Nothobranchius furzeri: one gene and its partners. The protein of the gene in region 2 binds, or shares a complex with, the protein of the main gene of each other region. Links are inferred from orthologs where the notes say so. Each region holds a gene or a part of one and is shown on either strand. Other genes may lie near its edges.

Region 1 (3,500 bases), on a different chromosome or scaffold from region 2:
AGCGTGTCAGAGGCGGACACGGTGTCCAGCGAGTGCGACGGCAGAAACGAGCGCTGAAAACGGTTTTTTACAATCTGTCAGACGGGAGAAAAAAAACGTCATTCATATGAAAACGTCCTCAGAAAAAACAGAAAATAAATAGTTTTCATTGGTTTGTTTTAATCGCAACCTGCCAAATTAAGAGATTTCAGAGAATAAGATCCCTGATATTCTAGATTTTCACCTCTGCCAGTCTGAGGTTCTCAGGTTTGACCCTCACACTCCTGGAGATGGACTCGAGGACTTCCTCTGTGCTGGAGTTCTCCTTACTCACACTCACCAAAAACTGAAGACAAACATTTAAATAAACTAACATTTATTTCATTATTACTAGAAATGTTAGCTTAGCGGTCTGGGAGTCGGTTACGGACGGTGTTTATTACGCAACACAGACACACATTCCGGAACGGCGAGGGAAACGCTTACCTTAACTGGTTTTTTATGTGGCTCCTTAGCAAAGTAAAAAACAGAGAGGACCTTTTGTTTCTGGGGCAACGGGACCGGGAGGTACAGGAACGGATCGAAGGTGATGGAGACCTGAAAAAGAGCCCGGTGAGCTTAACAGGAGCAAAACGTTAGTGAAGATCTTCAGAGGAGTCATCTGCTACCTTAGAGCACATGGGGCACACGAGTTTAGACTTAAACTGGCCTTGGAAGAGGTCCACGATGAAGGAGTCGTTCCTCATCTTGTGCCTCTGCCACGCCTCCTCTGCCACCACCTGCAGCATCCCAAAACAAATCCTCAGAGCAGTGCACACCAGTCCGTCCTTTCAAAGTAAAAGTTTTCAGTAAAGTTCAGCTGTTTCAAGAGAAGCCGACTCGCCTCATCGAGTCGTCCATCAGAGTCCACCGTCTCCGTGTACGGTTTAGTCTGGATGCGGTTCAAGTCCTCGTGGAGTCCGTCCAACAGGAACGCCATGAACTCCTGCGCGTCGTGTTGAGCGTAACCAGTGAACTGACTGGCTTTACTGGCGACGATCGCCTACGTGGTTCCAAAGGCAAGCAGAGACAAACGGGGACGTTAAACACAACATCCTGCAAACACACGTTTGTTTGGAGGAGCCGATCTAAGACCTTGAGCTTTGACGGTTGAAAGGCGTGGTGCGTCCCTTTCCAAAGAGCCCTGAGCAGCACAGCAAAGCCGATGGCGAGTCTTCCTCCTGTTCCCAGAGGGTTGCTGCAGTTGATTTCTGCTTCAAACGCTCGGTCTGCAGGAAAGCAGCAACACAGCTCAGAACACCGTCCAACCGGGATGTAAAGACGTACGACAGGACCTGGTTAATAGGGCTGTAGCGAAGCGTCGATGACGTCGACGGCTCGATTCTAAAAATTTGTCGACGTCAGATCTGGTAGTCGACGCACCACGCCCACTTGTTGCATCCCCAGGAGTTTGTAAATGGAGGAGGAATCTGCCCGTTTTTCCTCTAGTTCGCTCTCTTCTCCGCCTTCACTAACATCTCCACCAAATACCGAATACCCGGAACAAAGTCCGTCCACTACTAGATTCCTTTCCTGTTTTGCCCGCCTTCGTCTCCCGGCAACGGACAACAACTTCCGGGGTCAGATGCGCTGCTCCGTCTCTACCGCAGATGTAGAAAATCACCGGGAGCGTTTCTCCCTTCATAAAGGAGCTTCTTTCAGACATTAGGAGAGCTGTTTTTGTGGTAGCAGTCTCTCCTTCGTGCTGGTCTGTTTGCTGCTGGGTGTTTTTAGTTTAATTAAACTTGGTAACTTGAACTTAACGTTGGTAAAGCTACTGTTAGCATTTTGGCTAACAGCTTCTTGCGTTTGGATAAGCTGTTACGTTTTGGTTTAGAGGTCATCTTTTTTGTGGTGCAGATCTCCCTTTTATTACATTTAGTGTCGTGGGTTTTCGGTTTAGTGTAAAATATCACCTTGAGTTTGGTTTAACCGCCCAGTTTAGAGTTGGACCTTTGGAGATCCTTATTTTGGTCCAGAACCCAGTAATCTTTGCCCAGTGAGACATCCCAGGTTATTTGTACTTTGTTTTAATTCCCCACAGGCAGAATTAGTTTTATTATTCCCAACCTGTGGATGGAAAGATTTGTTTTTTTGTAGTTATAAATAAACCTGATCATCATTTTAACTTTTAAATCCCGTTATTGTCCCTTCCTTTTTGCACACGAGCCAAACTCCCCAGGAAGGGTCGTAACACCACTCACCTCACACACATAAGTGACCAAATCAAAGCAGCATGGAGACACTCCATCTTCTACCACCTCTCAGGCAGCAGCCTGCACTCCCAAGTTCTACATGTCACCAGAACATAACCAACCAACACAATAAAAGCAGTGTTATACAAAATAGAAGGCCTGTAGTATTTATTCTCTTACAATTTATCAATTTTTTGAGGAATTTATTTGAGATTTTCTGTTTTTTATTAATTGTGCAATAGAAAAATAATCGCTAGATTAATCGTCTAAATAGTCATTAGAATAGTCGACTATTCGATAAAATAATCGTCAGATTAATCGTTTACCCCCAGCCCTACTGGTTAACGAAATCATTTATGCTTCAATAACAGTAATACCCTTTGATCCTGTTTAAGATGAATTAGTCAAACTGCTGTCTCTTTAATCCGTTTCCTACTGGACCGAACATCTAACCTAACTTCTGCTAGAATTAAACCTGTTGAAGCAATCAAACTAAATGGAATGATAAATGACATTTTGTGTCATGGAACGATAACTAAATAAACATATTTGTCGCTGATTAAAAGGGGTCAACAGTATTTTACCATGGAAGTAATCCCGGAGTTCTCTGGTATTGGACAGGGACTGGATGACACTGTTCATGAAGCAGGTGTTACCGAGGTTGACCAATCCTGTAAAGCCAGGCAGGCACACCTTCTTCTCCTCCTCTTCCTCGTGGCGCTCCGCGGCAGGAGGTGCATGGGTCATAGGCTGCACCATGCAGGTAGGCTTGGGCTGCAGGAACACAAGCAAACACACGTTAAAGGAGGCATCTGTGTTTTTAGAGAGGAGAGGATCTGTGACAGACGAGCCAAACTGAAGAGGACAGATTATTTTCTACGGCAGTCTGAGAAAATCAGACGGTTGCACTAGTGGGGTCTGTTTTGTTGCAGCATACTCGGTGGTGTAACTGACTGTCCGACAGAAATAAAAGTGCAGACATCTTTTTTCTCTTCTCTCTAAATGTTTTCACTCATATTCTGGAAGAAGTCTTAAGGTTTTAGAGGTTTTTGTGGTGAAAGTGGACTTTCCTGGAAGACTCACGCACACGGATCCCAACTCTCATCCTCAGCTTATCCAAACAAAATGATCTTCCTGCATACTCACATTTAGGGTTGTCACGGTGTGAAAATTTAACCTCACGGTTTTTGTGACCAAAATTATCACGGTTTTCGTTATTATCGCGGTATTTTTTTTAACGTGTTACATTTTCAGACAACTAAATAAACCCTGTATATCAGGAAAATA
Region 2 (4,284 bases):
CATGCTGACTTGGGTCACGCATGAGACGGATTACATCAATACTGGTAACTTACTGATGATCAGAACTATTTTGGGTTTTAAAAACAGAAAATCTAGCTTCCCTCACATGAATCAGCAGCCATCAGTTATAAGCACGAGAACCTGCAGCTCAGATAAATTCACAATAACTAGTTATGAGAAGAGGGGGTCACCTCCCGGAGGCTCTGCTACTCACCTTCGTCCATAAGATTTCCAAATAAGGCTTTCGTCTGATCTTGAAATGAAGGGACCTCTGAAAAGACAAAAACACACAAATGTAAAACAAACTCAACTATCTGCTCCCTTCAGTTCAAGCGCTGATCGAGTCCAGATTCAGGTTTCATCCTTGCAGCAAAAACAAGAGGAGCTGCTTTTAATCGGACAATAAAATGTAGAAATAAAGAATGTGGTTAAAACTAAAGTCAGTGTTTGGACAAGGACACTTTAAGGCCCGTGTGTGGAATCAGCTCAGCAGCTGGAGGACAGCAGAAGACTCAGAACCTCTCAGCCACTCACCTGCTGCTAATGGAGCGTCCATTACAGGGACACGTCCATAATGGGCTGTCTGGTGACGCCAGCACATTTCATTCATATTTAACAAACCCAACGCTTCATTTATCTCTTTAATTTTTAACCTTTGGAGTTTCCTTTTAAAAAAAAGCTACACTTGGTACCCTCGCACAAAAAAAAATGCATTTTGGCAAAATGTTTAATAAAAAATTATATAACATTTCAAAAGTCAAAAATCTTTAACACAGATTCTTTCCTTAGCTTCAGTCCTCACCAAACAAAGTAAAATATCTGAGTGTTTTTGAGATCTGCGATGGACTGGCTCTCTGTCCAGGGTGTACCCTGTGCCCGTTGACCGCTGGAGATAGGCACCAACACCCCCACCCCCCTGCGTGGACAAAGCAGGTTCAGAAAATGGGTGGGGGGGGGGGGTGTTTTTGAGATTTAACCCCTTTAGTGCCATGTTTTGTCAAAAAAAAAAAAAAAAACCATTATAAAAATATAAAATGCTAAATCATTTGTGTGTCATGTCCAGAGGACTTTTTGGGGGTGAATTGTGAGGGCTCTAGTCACAAATGAGCATAAAAATATTTTTGGCCACACAATCTCCAAAACATACATTACTAGAGTGTGTTATAAATCAGTGCCATGCCATTTAGAGGAAAAAAGTAAAAATAACTTCAGTCCCTGGTGGCTGCAGGAACACAGTTGGAGTGAAATTTTAAAAAATGTATGGTGATATTTAGCTTTTTTTTATGTTTGAATGGGAGTCAATGGCACAAAAAATTTCTGTGGGACAATTAAAATTGGAATCAGATTTTTTCATTCTGATTCTCCTTTGAGTTCAGTTCCGAACAGTTCATCCTCTTAAAAAGGACAAAAGAATAACCACTGAGTTTGACGTCTACTCGTCTGTCCATCCTTTTGCTTTCTTAACTCAGCGATTGTCTCCGGGATTTTATGATCATGTCATGTCAGGATTCAACAACAAACCTGACCCAAAAACACAGACAGGTAAAGGTGTGTTCACACTGGAACTTTCCCCATTTTCTACACCAACATGTGATGGGGGGGGGGGGGGATTGTTGCATCATTGTTACACCATCAGGTCTGATTCCAATCACACCTAAAGTCGCACCAATTCTTCATAAATAACAGGAAATTAACTTTGCTACTTCAGTTTAATCCACACGAGAATCAAGACTGCAGAGACGTTGGGCATCAAGTCCTTCAGACTGAGGAGACTGAAGGGAGGACGTTTACCCATAATGCACAGCAGCACGTCTAGAGAAAATCTAACAGCTGATGTCAGCTGGTGGAGGACGGCTGGTGGTTTGGGCCAGTTCTGTGGTCCACCAGAACCTCATCTGAAGTTTGGACCTAACCGGCTCATAAAACTGGACAACGACCCCAAACACAGCAGACCTACAACAGAACCAAGGTGCTGCAGCGGTCCAGTCAGAGAAGCTGTGCCAAAATGCATCTGTGCAAACTGGATCAGAACTCTTCCAGAACCGCATGAGAACCGGATCAAATAGGCCAGGATTACTGAGAGTCACTGCTGGGGAGGACGGTTCTGCAGGATCGTCTATGGTTCTGTAGATTATATTCTAGATTAATAATCATATAGTTTGAAGCCCTGATAACAAAACCGGATGTTCTATTACAGAATAAAATCATCATTTAGAGCAGAGATGAAAACAAGCGGAGCTTCAACATAATCATGACTGACTGACACACACACACACACACACACACACACACACACACAAAGCTGTCTTAAAGCGGAACAGCTGAGCAGAAGGTGAGCTCCTCCCTCCCCCACCTCTGACCACAGCTGCAACACCACATTAGATCCATGAGTGGGAAAAGGAACCGCGTAGTTCCAGATAACGGAAGCACTTCGGGGGTTGGGCTCCTTCACCTTTAGGCGTGTGGACATCCCTCGTGGCGACACACGAGAAGAGTCGGAGCAGGGAGTTCCAGGGTGGAGACGGTAGAGCTACGCTCGCTGGCTTTGATTTCACTTGGACCAAAGACATTTATGCAGCGCCCCCCCGCCACATTCCCCAGACCTTTTCCACAGAAACCACACACTGCTGCTGCCCCAAACATCGGATCATGTTTCTTCCTCCTGCCCCTCGGATATGTTGTAGTAAAGAGACGAAGGCTGGGTCCACGCAACAGGAAACAAGTCCTCCAAACCCACTAAAAATAACAGGATGGGGAGGAAAATAAGCTACGAGCATGAATAATTCCTTTATTAGGTGGGAACTGCAGCAGTCTGTCTGTCGGGTACGAGCCAAACGAAAAAACAAAGACTAGGACGATTACACAAAAGGACGTGGAACCGCCGACACAGCGTCGTTTTCCGTTTCAGTAAAAAGCTTCATCCCACCACGCTTCCTCCAACACTGGACAATAATCCATGTGTGCGTTCCACCTCCGTGGCTCCTTGGGCCAGGTTTTCAGGAACTATTTGGCACCAAACTGCAGAAGTGTGTAAAAAAAAACTCTCCTACAAAGCGCTTTTCCAAAACGCTGGTTTGCAACCAAAATGAGAGCAAGACATGGTTCCAGCAGCAAAAAACAATTCCTTCACGGCGTTACGACAGGAATAATCAGAGCCCAGTGTTTCCAGAGTCTGAAGAGGAAAAGAAGGGAAAGTCCGAAATCTCCCTCCCTCCCTCCACCGGTGTTCATGGGGTGTCGTCTCCTGTAGTGACGTAGGTGTCGCGTGTTTGTGTAAAAGAGCCCAGCAGCCATCAGATGTCAGTCCAAACACACTCTTCCCTATTTTCCCATCAGACCTGTGATTTAACGGGCCTGATTTTCCCTTCCCTCTCTGTGCCTCTCACATGGTTATGTCAGCATAAAGCCTGCATATTTCACCCCCACCCCGTGCAGTGCTGTGGTTGTGCACGGCTCAGATTTCAGCCCGTCTCGCTGCAGGCTGCACCACCAGCTGCCCTCACTGACACCAAACCTCACTTTCTCACTGCTTTTCCTTTCCTAGTTTCACTCTTCTTCTCCCTCAGCGTTCCTGCTCCGCAGGTTAAATCATTCCCATTCCAAATGTTAGTCAAACCTCCGGGAGTGTGCCCCAGTCTCCACCTTAAGATTGAACTTTAAATGTTGTGTAAAATCCCCAAACTAAACTAACCGATATGTCCCAGCAGCAGCGCTGAAGCTACAGCAGGACACCATGATGTCACCATCAGCTCAGCCGAAAACAAACACTAAAGACTATCCTCCACTGTACCCTGCTGGGTCTGCATTCATGAGAGACGGGTGGTGATTTTCCAACATTTGAAGAGTCGTTTAAATACACGGCGTCAGAACCACCAGGTTGTGGTAACATGTTCCACTAAGTTGGTTTTAATGCCAGGGATGCATTTTCAACACAACACCTGCCTCCCAAAAGTCCTTCAGTGTTTCTGAGATTGTGATTTTACTTTCAACGCCAGCGGGTAGTTACACCTGCCAGCATACCTGGTGAGCACATCTCTAAACGGATCCACCTGACAGGTGAAAATCAAAACGTCCCGTTACAACTGGGGATGCACCGATACGATACCGGTATCGGTAAAAGTTAACCGATACCAATGCAGTTGCTTGAAAATGGCTTCACTGTAACTTGTCATTTCTGTTCACCTAATATTTTAGTTTTGTTATGATTTCCATTCATATATTTTACTTTTCATCTACCTCACAGTCTTTTCCTGTTGAAAGCAGAGAAGAAAATAAAATCTGTAT
Region 3 (2,953 bases), on a different chromosome or scaffold from region 2:
GTTTAGTAATCGCGTTGCTCACTGTTTACATGCTTTTGCCGTCCACCATGGTGGACACACGTGATTAGGTGACGTCGGTGCAAAGGGTCAATAACCATACGCCATCTTAAAATACTGTACTAATACTGCTCCATGTTTGCATTTGGACATGAAAGTGGATTAGGGACAGTCTCTCTGCTCAGAAAAAAACATCACATATTTATTAAGAAGTATTATAATAGGACTACTTCACACTCAGACCACCAAACATGAAAACATCAGAAAATATTCCAGAACACTGTAATCATCCTTAAGAGGTTATTGTTATGAGTCATGAGTGCTAATGCTCTGATGAGTTGGTTGTGATTAAATGTTTAGTAGGGCTGCGCGATATTGGGAAAACATGAGATATTCGATAACAATGATTAATATTGCGATGACGATATTACTTGCGATAATTAAAAAATTAACTCAGGAACAAAAATAATCAAAAACAAAGAAATTTAAAAAAATTTAAAAAATGAGAAAAGCTAAAGATGTGAGGAAAGGGAAAATGAACAAGAAAAGGCGATCAGTGGATCCCAAGAAAAGCAGAATCAGCAAAAAGAGCAGAACAAAGCTAACTCAGGTGTTTGCTAATCATCAAAATTAAGTGCCGTCCGCCTCAAGGACGGGACTCTAACCTAAGAGAACCCACCCAATTGGCCAAATGGATGAAGAGCTCTATTTGATTTGTTAAAAAAAAACATCATGCTTTCGCCGTTTGACAGAATGCATTATGTGTAGCAAACATTTGGGCTGACCATTCACTGTGATATTTAGCTGTTCTTTGCGATATGCATATTGTGCATGCTGATATCACGATAACGATATATTTGTGATATATTGTGCAGCCCTAATGTTTAGGAAGAGCTGGAGCTGCAGGTAAATGCAACTTTATCTCAGCTGTTTGCTTGCCTACTTTAGTAAACCAGTGCTAAGGGCAAAATGCTGTTCTGACTCTTTAATGCAGCAGGAATGTTACAATATTATGAAATTATCTCATCACGTGTTTCTCCTCCAGCATCCCTGAATCTTCTGGTGCCCAGATCAATATATTGGGATTTATTTTAAACGAGTAAGGCTGTAGCATACTGGTGGCCATTTCTCACCAGAAAAAGTATTTATGTTGCTAACATTAGGTTTTAACGGGGTTAAATACTGATGGTGTTTACACCACACTCAACGTAACCCCCCCCCCCCCCCCCCCAAGAACTTTCAAGCCCAAAATCGCTCTGAGAAGTTAAAGCGACAGCACTCATACTCGCTGTGAGCGCCGTTCTGTGTCTGCGTGCTGTCTCTTCAACTGTGACTGGTCAAATGACAACATGTGACTAACACACTAGAACAAAGATCGTTTGTGAACAAGGCAAATCCCCCCTCCTTTCTCCGATTCTCATCTAATTGCCTTTTTGATATGTGTGGGCTACTGTAGCTGCAACACTTAAGCCTAGTCCACACGTAGCCGTTTATTTTTATAAACGAATATCCGTCCCTCCAAAAACTTGCATCCACACCACCTCGTTTTAAAAAAAACCTCTGTCCACACATACCCGGATAAATACGTTGTTAAGGACATGCCAGACCTGTAGGCGGCAGTACTTCCCCTGTTCTTAACCTCGTCCGTCGTCTGTGGTCTTCCGCAAGGAGCAGTAATTCCGCTTGCAAAAACAAACAAGCAAAAAGCGCTTGGACAACTGATAAAGCGAGCGCAGCTCTGAGGGCATCCATGCTGTCGGCTAGTGTAAACACAGGTCGCACACGTGATGTCAGCATTTTTTTTGTCGCGGACAGTGACGTTGCGGACCTTAAAACTCTGGTTTTGTCTGTCCACACGCAGACACCCAAAACGGAGAAAACGCAGAACTTCACTTTGGCCGGAGTTTTTAAAAAGATCCGTTTTTGTGTGAAAAAACTCAGTTTTCGTGTGGATGACAGGCCAAAACGTAGAAAAATATCTACGTTTTGGCAGATCCCCGGCTACATGTGGACAGGGCCCTAGTCTGAACTGCGTGGCACTAAGGAGTCAAATATTTCTACAAATTGGAGCTAAAACAACATTTTGTGTTTAAAAATCATTTATTTTTTTTATAGTTTCCTCCCACTGACTCAATTTAAACTTATTGTCTTGCCAAGAACCAGAACTATTGAAACAAGAAAAATAATGTTTATGTTTAATTATTTACTTGGCAGATGCTTTTATCCAAAGCGACGTACAATTTTAAATCTACAGGGCATGTTGTGATCTGTGGGGGAAACCCACGCATGCATGGGGAAAACATGCAACTCCACGCAGAAACGCAGCAGCCGAGTTTCAAACTTGCAACCTTTTCGTTGCGAGGCAACAGTGCTAACAACTGCACCACTACGCAATAAAAACTTAGCCATGGGGCAATAAAAATAGTGATTTAATTTGCTGTCATTTCATAAACAATAAAACATGTGCATTTTGGATGTATTTTGAACTCCTTACATAAAATTGCGTGAAGAGTGAAATAATAAATGCACCTGATCATCTGGAATGGGTAAAAAAGGGAAGACAGTGTCAGGAGGGTAGTGATGAAAATAACTTCGTAGATAGCTGTTCATAAAAAATTGAGCCAAATGTAACGTACAGCTGCTTTTTAATGTAGAAAAGCTTTATTCACCTTTTTATAGCTGTCCTGCACACTGATTGGATGCAACAGGTTGAGAACAGTCATCTGATGGTTTTTGCCATCTAGATCCTTGACCAGCACCGAAAACGATCTGCAAGAGACAACATGTGATTTTAAAAAAAATATTTCATATGATGAACAAGCACAGCAAACGTTATTTGTTACTCACAAGTTTACCTTTCTGTGAAGTTCACCTCCACATTTTCTGAAGGTATTTTCTGCACTTCTTTCAAATTCAGGTAAATTTTGACAAATTTGTCAGACTGATCCCATGCTGT

The links. The genes of interacting proteins can lie anywhere in the genome.
Region 1: the proteins of siah1 (region 2) and usp19 are in contact, whole or in part, in a crystal structure (PDB 4X3G), measured with the Homo sapiens proteins. The link is inferred for Nothobranchius furzeri from reciprocal best matches to the Homo sapiens genes SIAH1 and USP19. Residues at the interface, in NP_003022.3 of Homo sapiens: Cys130, Pro131, Thr156, Leu158, Gln159, Asp162, Ile163, Val164, Phe165, Leu166, Ala167, Thr168, Leu172, Val176, Asp177, Trp178, Val179, Met180, Asn276; in NP_006668.1 of Homo sapiens: Lys463, Pro464, Thr465, Cys466, Met467, Val468, Pro469, Pro470, Met471.
Region 3: the proteins of siah1 (region 2) and cacybp are in contact, whole or in part, in a crystal structure (PDB 2A25), measured with the Homo sapiens proteins. The link is inferred for Nothobranchius furzeri from reciprocal best matches to the Homo sapiens genes SIAH1 and CACYBP. Residues at the interface, in NP_003022.3 of Homo sapiens: Leu158, Gln159, Asp162, Ile163, Val164, Phe165, Leu166, Ala167, Thr168, Val176, Asp177, Trp178, Val179, Met180, Asn276; in NP_055227.1 of Homo sapiens: Lys59, Pro60, Ala61, Ala62, Val63, Val64, Ala65, Pro66, Ile67.

Annotation. Positions count from the first base shown.
Region 1 is NC_091755.1:48,425,433-48,428,932, reverse strand, and holds part of usp19 (ubiquitin carboxyl-terminal hydrolase 19), read right to left. Parts: intron 2,988-3,500; coding exon 2,798-2,987; intron 1,248-2,797; coding exon 1,114-1,247; intron 1,022-1,113; coding exon 863-1,021; intron 759-862; coding exon 648-758; intron 577-647; coding exon 466-576; intron 326-465; coding exon 224-325; intron 75-223; coding exon 1-74. UniProt on the Homo sapiens protein: Deubiquitinating enzyme that regulates the degradation of various proteins by removing ubiquitin moieties, thereby preventing their proteasomal degradation. Stabilizes RNF123, which promotes CDKN1B degradation and contributes to cell proliferation.
Region 2 is NC_091744.1:81,653,893-81,658,176, reverse strand, and holds the start of siah1 (E3 ubiquitin-protein ligase Siah1), read right to left. Parts: upstream 2,801-4,284; 5' UTR 2,571-2,800; coding exon 2,453-2,570; intron 272-2,452; coding exon 215-271; intron 1-214. UniProt on the Homo sapiens protein: E3 ubiquitin-protein ligase that mediates ubiquitination and subsequent proteasomal degradation of target proteins.
Region 3 is NC_091751.1:54,237,101-54,240,053, reverse strand, and holds part of cacybp (calcyclin-binding protein), read right to left. Parts: intron 2,950-2,953; coding exon 2,853-2,949; intron 2,767-2,852; coding exon 2,667-2,766; intron 1-2,666. UniProt on the Homo sapiens protein: May be involved in calcium-dependent ubiquitination and subsequent proteasomal degradation of target proteins. Probably serves as a molecular bridge in ubiquitin E3 complexes. Participates in the ubiquitin-mediated degradation of beta-catenin (CTNNB1).